Linked DNA regions of Drosophila melanogaster. The protein of the gene in region 1 interacts with the protein of each later gene in a pairwise test. Each region holds a gene or a part of one and is shown in the gene's direction. Other genes may lie near its edges.

Evidence for each region.
Region 2: the proteins of dbr (region 1) and Ets97D interact in a two-hybrid assay, tested with the Drosophila melanogaster proteins (one large-scale study listed by BioGRID).

Annotation. Positions count from the first base shown.
Region 1 is NT_033779.5:64,376-68,305, forward strand, and holds the start of dbr (debra), read left to right. Parts: upstream 1-2,106; 5' UTR 2,107-2,237; intron 2,238-2,300; 5' UTR 2,301-2,628; intron 2,629-2,667; exon of another isoform or gene 2,668-3,013; 5' UTR 3,014-3,132; intron 3,133-3,193; 5' UTR 3,194-3,249; coding exon 3,250-3,387; intron 3,388-3,516; coding exon 3,517-3,648; intron 3,649-3,709; coding exon 3,710-3,930.
Region 2 is NT_033777.3:26,910,933-26,914,862, reverse strand, and holds the start of Ets97D (Ets at 97D), read left to right. Parts: upstream 1-1,976; 5' UTR 1,977-2,102; coding exon 2,103-2,166; intron 2,167-2,243; coding exon 2,244-2,358; intron 2,359-2,419; coding exon 2,420-2,489; intron 2,490-2,544; coding exon 2,545-3,259; intron 3,260-3,320; coding exon 3,321-3,751; coding exon of another isoform or gene 3,752-3,811; 3' UTR 3,812-3,930.

The DNA of each region.
Region 1 (3,930 bases):
ATTGTCGCTATCCAACAAGCTGACAATTTACAAACAGATATTAGCACCAAACTGGAAGTATGGGTGCCAAATCTGGGTCTTGGCATGCGACAGCCAAATAAAAAGGATCCAGGCTATTCAAAATAAGGTAGCAAGACTCATCACCGGCTGCGAGTGGTTTGTGCGAAACACCACCCTGCACAGAGACCTGAAACTCGCAACGGTATTTGACGAGATAAACCAGCACTCGAGCAGGTACCATGACAGGCTGGAGCGCCACAGAAATCGGCTGGCCAGCGCTCTTAACAGATCTCGCCCACCAAGGAGGCTCAACAGAAGGCAACCGAGGGATCTCATTTCCCGATCTCCTTTGACAAGGGTCAGCAGAAGCTGACGCTTATCAAAAAACCTATTTATTATATGTGTTTGTTATGTACTGTATTATAACTGTATAAACTAGAAAAAGCTAACTATAGTTAGCCGGCGCGCCCAAATGGGCAGAAATAATAGAAAAGAAGGACACAAAGGGGCTCCAAGATTTCCCCGTATGCCTTAAAAAATAAATTTAATTATAAGAAAAAAAAATGCACTGAATCTGTCAGCCTAAAAGTATGCTTCATTTTCGCCCAAACTACATTTTCTATATGTATAAAAAAAATACATATTATATACATAAATATAAGACTAAAAAGGCCCCACCGACAGGACCTATTATTTAGAACGCTGTTGTAACAACTATCTTGATTGTTAATATAGGAACATGACAAATATTTACCCTTGTAAATATGTAAAAATTCGTTAACGTTGAATCAATACAATAGTATTATTAATTTCCCTCCTCAAATATATAATTGTTTAAGATGCCTGAAGGTAGCAGTACAATAATTTAACTACGTGTATCCAAACTTAAAATAATATGTAAAATACATAAATTGGTAAATAACAAGAAAAAAATGTTGCCGATCAAATGCGCTCGTAAATTTTAAAATACCTGATGAGATGTAATTCGGGCAATTTGTACACATTCGTTGCACACCATTTTGCATTGATGTCTATCTGCCAACGATAATAAAAAATACATTAAAAATGTACGTTAAGCAAGCTTTCACACAACGGAAAGGTGTTTAGGTAAGAATTGGGTACCAGGGCGCACATATCCTTGATTTTTTTCATCTAAGGATAAGAAGAAATGATATAATCTGGCCCGTCCCGACTTATAAACTACCTAAGACTTTTGAAAAACTTTCGTGCAGATCTGTATGCAGCTTTAAACTGAGGGACTGACGACGGACGGCGATGAACACTGAGTTTGATACTGATCAAGAATATATGTATGTATATACTTTAATGTCTCCCACACTGCGCATCAAGGTTTTTACTGGAATCAATATACTCTCTGCAAGGGTATATTCCTATACACTTAAATGACTTAAATGTACAATTGTATGTACATATTTATGTTAATGTAAATAGTCGTGTGGCTGCTTCATGAAATAAATGCGATAGTTCGGAGTATTTTCCAAACCTTTTGCATACCTTTTGGCGAACGGATGCATTTAAGCCCAAGGAATATTCATATTCGTACATATGTATGTCTATAGGAAAGCAATTTGTATAAATGTGCTAAAAGCATTGCACAGCCATATTAACGTATTTATTAATGTTGATTTTAGAGTAAAAGTTACCCCAAGATATTGATTCTTATGTATAGATTTAAAATAACAAATCATCACCCATATTTCTGACTGTTGTTATTTAAGATATGTGTAAATATGTACACACATATATAAATGCATATATAAACATGACTAGGAACTCGCCTAAAAATCCAAATTCTGCACACTTTAGGCTTGAAGAAAATTCAAAAAGTTTGCCTACTTATTTGTTTTACGTCAAAATGAAGAGACTGTGTTTTCCAAGTCCAGTACGTCCACATCGCACTTATTGCTAATACGAAAGCTTGATTTTAAATTTTTTCTTATGCCCACATTTTGGCGTAAATGCACGAATACATAGACATAGTGAATCACAAAATCTCAGGAAAATAGCTAAAATGGCAAAAGAAAGATCAGAAGCATAAGCTCTAAGGCACGCAAACAGAGAACAACCAACACTATCAAAATGAATGACAACTAGTTTTAGTTCAAGGAGAGCGCTTCATGCGAGGAATCAACGTAAATAAAGGCACCAACAGTTGATAAGTGAGCGAGTCGTCTTTTACTTTACGAGCGGCAAATTAATACATAATATGTATGCACGTATGTATTTTAATAAGGGAAGTAATAGCTTTTGAATATGCAATCGCCTTCAACGGTATTTAGATACACCTTAAATACCCGGTCGCAAGAAAAAACTGGTGGAAAGAAAAACCAGCCGACTACATTTACGCCATTGAGGCCACATGGATAGAGCGGAAAACTGGCTGTGCGCCATGAAACAGACGGACACCAAGCCCGCACACATATACACCAGCGCTCGAAAAATAGAAACAAAAGTCGTGTAAGTGTTTAATACAAGCAACAGTCAGGGAGCACGCACACCATCACCGGCGGTGCAAACAACGTAGGAGAGGCGAGAGCAAAGAAAGAGTACTGTAAGCCATCAGCGCGAAACTGTGTGTGTACGGAAATGCATTAGTATGTGTGAGTGGTGAGTGTAATGGCAAACGGCAGCAACATTTATTTCGCTCAGTTTTATTTCGTTTTTTCGTCGCAACGCAAGTGCTGGTGAAATCGTTGTGGCAGAAGTCTATTTTAAGTGAATAAATCTTTTATTGTGCTCATGTTCGTAATTCCAAAACGTTCGTCGAGACTAAAAGACTTCTGCAAAGCTTTCGAGAAAAGAATAAATGGAAAAATACTATTTTCCACAAAAACATAGCATAGCAATTGTGAACAGCGTAAAACGAGGAAAGCAAAGATCTGCTTCTGTTTCTCACTCTCTCGGACTTGCGCTCTCCGCTTTCAATGATCAATACATTTACAGTTTGTTATTATTTGTTTTTCATTTTGCCTTTTGTTTTGCACGCTCTCAGTAACCGCGCGACGACTTTCTCAAATTGCAAGTGTAAAAAATTCATGAAAACGAAGTAGTGGGCAAGGCGAACTGCATTGCAAATGGTAGTGTGTGTGTCTAAATTTGGTGTTAACAAGAGTAAGCCTATTACACCGAACCCCTGGGATTTTTAAAAAATTTTTCTGCATTTTGTCATCAGCATGTTGGGCTTGACGCTTTGAGATAGGAAATAAAAGGCGCATTCAAATTCGTAACATGGATGCTCAGTTTGAGCACTTGTGCCGCATTTGCGCTGCCAACACGAAAAGCAAGACGAATTCCGTGGTTGAAAGTGTGTTTATTTTTAAAACACAGGGACTGAAGGATAAAATATCTCGACACCTTTATCTAAATGTAAGTAAATAAAAAGGAACAGCCTGTTTGGCGCTGCATCAAATTTAATCCTAGATCTGAATAAGTATCAAAACAAGACCTCCGCGTACTTGCTAAGACTCGACATTTAAAAAACGTATTTCTTTTTAGGTAGCTGAAGAAGATCCTCTGCCAAAAGTGCTCTGCAAATCTTGTTACCGCCAAGTAGAGGCCACGGCGTCGCTTTCAAATATAGCAAAACATACTCAGCTCGTGTTTCGGGACTTTCTCCTTAGTACACTGGTAATCGATTATATACCACTTATATATAATCAGCAAGCTTACAACTTATTAAATCTTCCAGCCTAAGAATGCGAGGGAAGCGGCTGCTGCACAACTGAGCGTTCCAGCAACCCAAATCCCACACCGACACGACGAAGTCCAAGCGGAAATCGATGAATTTCGCCCCATTTTGCTGACCCACGTGCCGGAGTCCGGAAACACCGCTTCCAAGCCCCAACCAGCCAATTGCCTGGAGCTGGCCCCAAAAACCGGCGAAAACTACTTGGCTGCATCTTCCTCATC
Region 2 (3,930 bases), on another chromosome or scaffold:
AAAAAAAGGCACCATAACTCACTCGAAAAAAAAACCAATTAATTAAAAACCAGAAATTATGAAACGAAGAGCAAGAAAGCTGAAACGAAAACGCCGACCGCCTTTGAAATGTCCTTGCAGCAATAGCAATAGCGATAGCGATAGCAATCCTTAGACGACCCAAATACTGGCCATTCAGTATGGGCCACGGAAATGCAAATTCTCCAAGTCCCGGGCTCTGGTGCTCCACTTTGGTGCTCAGCGTGGGAGTTGTCCCTATTGATTTAATTCTAGCCATCCAGTGACGCAATTCCGTGGAGTTGAACGCTCGGCGGACAAATAATCCAGAGGCGAAAACCCCAAGGGGTTGTTTTCCTTTATTTTTCTTGTTTTTTTTTTTTTGTGTTTTTATTTCGACGGTTCTTGGCAGCCGAATATATGGGAATTTCTGGCAGTCAAAGGCGCCACAATGACTGCGCATAGTTTTATGTACGCTAACGGTTTTGAGTGAGTTTTCCACGTTGTCATTGGGCTGGTTTCGTTCATCTGTTTGTTGCCCCATTGCAGCTGGGTGTCATGACCTAGACAATTTTCGGTCTGCATAGATTTCTATCTGCCAGAAGGTCAATGCGGCGTATACTTAACGTGCAATGAGATAAGTCCTCATTAGCATATAATGAGTAATAAGGGTTTGTGTGGTGAGAAAGAAAGATAGAAATTTCACTACCACTCACATCTAATAATATCCAAATGAGACGACTTTGACAATGACTCAACTTCAAATGGCTGGAAAGTACGCAAAATGAAACCAAAAAAAAAACTGACCTGAAGCGCCTGAATTTGACCAGCTGGCTAATATTAGTCAACAGCTTGGCAAGTAAACAAAGCAGAGTTAGTCCCCAAATAAAACAAAATCCGCACTCTGGCTTGTTAGTTTCCCTCGTTTTCGGACACGAAACGGAAAGGGGAAAATGAAGTTGCAAGGTTGCACAATATGGGGATGATGATGTGCCAGAACATTCGTGGCAGACATTGAATCACTTATAGCTAATACCGAAATCAAAATCAAACATTGTCATCAGCAAGATATTCGCAAGCAAATATCGTTCATCTACTATGCCAACTGAGTCAACAGCATGAGGTAATGCTCCCAACTCCGGACTATTCAGGCCGGGAGCCGTCTTTGTCCATATCTCGGTACATGGTACATGGAAAAACGCTTGTGTTAACAAGTACTCTGTGCACTTGAGGCTGTCCTCTGCTCCATAGCACAATTGGCATTCATTGTCCCGCCGTTTTGACCCACTGATCGTGTTACGGGGCATTTAATCAGCATTAGCTGAAAATGAGCAGCACTTGGCCACTTCACTTGCCTGTGGGAACACCCAAGTGCTTCCTAGTCAGGCCGACGCACAAACATGGCCAATTGTGTCGGCCAATTGAGTCTTGCAGCGAAAGAAAGTGGCGAAAAGATATCGCATGAAGAGCAAACCACTCAACCACAAGTGGGTGTCTTAAGCATCGACTTGTTGTTGCGAATTGAATTCCTCAATTAATTTCGATGGCATTTCTAGGAAATCACTTGAGGGGGCGAGCACACATTTTGTCACCAGATTGCTAATTTTTATAGATCGTTAGGCTCAAAATATTAATAGCTGGTGATGAAAGAAATTTTTGATCAATGAATTTCCACACAGGAAAAGGGAACTTGAAAATAGTTCAAAACTGGCAAAATATTTGCCAGTAAAAACTATAACAAAATCATGTATTCTTTTAAAACTAAATAACAATTGATGTTTTTCTTTAAATATATATGATGCTATTAAGTTTTTTCATCATTAAAGCAAATATTGTATTTCAGACTTGCTAACTTACATTCATATTTACATTTTTTCGAAACTTTTATCACTTTTAAAAGAACCGCCAGAGTTTTGAAATCTGATAGAATTGGTGGCAATACTGGCCAGTGACTATGCAGCCCTGTACCAACGCCACTTAGTATTATTCGGTATTGCCACACCCGACGTACACGGTCACACTGAAGATGCAACAATAAATCCACGAGACAAATTTGTTAAAAACATTTTGTTAATATAGGCAGTTATTTGCGATTTTAAGCCGCGATGAACAGCAGCAATGACTTGTCGGACGAGCTAATACGCCGCCTCAGCGTTGGCGGTGCCCTGGGTAAGTGGAATGATGCCATTTCCCAATTGGGACGCACCTGTTGTTACACCGAATTATTAATTGTAAACAATTTGCAGAAGAAGTGATTGCCAGCGAAATGTTCGAGGATAGCATCGATGTGGAGACGGAGGCGGAGCCGGACGACATCATCATCGTGCACATGGACATCCGGGAGCCGCTCAGCATGCTCAAGTGAGTCTGGCGAAGACTGGCCCCCATTAGTCATGCAAATAACCCTCATTTCTACCCACAGATCACTTGTTGAGCAAAAGATAGGAGTGTGCCTGAATTACTACACGTTTTGGCTGCAGGACGCGCAGGAGGTGAGTCTATCTGCGGCGTAATAAAATGTTTACCTAAGCCCCCACTCTCCTGCAGCTGGAATCGCACAAGAATCTCGTGGACCAATGCGTCAAGGGAGAAGGCCTGGTCCAGATCAACGTGCAGATACAAACTATTCGCAAGCGCATTAACATCGCCGACGTCCTGAAGCCCACGGAGGCCGCACTGGCTGCCTTGGCCGAGGAGGTGGTGGGCCAGCTCTCGCCGCCGGAAACGGCCAGCCAGAAGAGTTCCTCCAGCGAAAGCCCCATCAAAACCCCACTCAAGCGCATGCACAAGGAAGACTCCGAAGAGGAATCCGTCGAGGGCAAGGATGTCAAGCCAGTCTTGAATTGGGTCCTGGACAGCAAGTTTAAGCGAGAACAAATACGCCTGAAGATACCCGAGGCGGCCAACGAATGGACACACGCACACGTGACGTACTGGCTGGAGTGGGCCGTCAAGCAGTTCGAACTAGTTGGCATCAACATGAGCGACTGGCAAATGAATGGCCAGGAACTCTGCGCAATGACGCACGAGGAATTCAATCAGAAGCTGCCCCGTGATCCAGGCAACATCTTCTGGACCCACCTCCAGCTGCTAAAAGAATGTAATTTCGTGTCCGTAGTGCACAAACGAGCGGAGGAGCAGCGTAAGCCCAAGCAACCAAGAATCATGTCGGCCAATTCCATATCGACCAATTCAGGGGGCAGCCTTTCGCTTGAACAGCGGATTATGCGGAAATCCTATCAGTCAGTCAAGAGCTCTGATTGTAAGTAGACGTGTGAATGTTACACCAAAGCATGAGCTAACAATATCTACTTCGTTCACAGCCGTTGAAAGTACTACGTCATCCATGAATCCATCAAACTACACTACCATCGGTTCCGGGAATAATGGACAAGTGCAGCTATGGCAGTTCCTACTCGAAATACTCACCGACTGCGAGCACACGGACGTTATTGAGTGGGTGGGCACCGAGGGAGAATTTAAGCTCACTGACCCGGATCGAGTGGCACGCCTTTGGGGCGAGAAGAAAAACAAACCCGCTATGAACTACGAAAAGCTATCAAGGGCTCTCCGCTACTATTACGATGGGGATATGATCTCCAAGGTGTCCGGCAAGCGATTCGCATACAAATTTGACTGCGATTTGAAGCTATTGATCGGCTATGATGCGAATGAGCTATCCACGCTGGTCAGCGAGGGGAAAACGGCGCCCGAGCGCGTAGCCGCAACGGAAACAATTACAGAAGACACGTGACATGGCGAGCTGAAGCTCAAGGAGGAACCCGACATACTCTGGAAGTACGAGGAGCCTTAGCGTTGGCTGACTTGGTCGGATGACGGCGCCTGGTTAATAATACAAATTGTTACATATTTTACAATCCTAAGGCACACGATTTTATTATCCATTTCGTATTCGCTAAGGTTTATAATCTC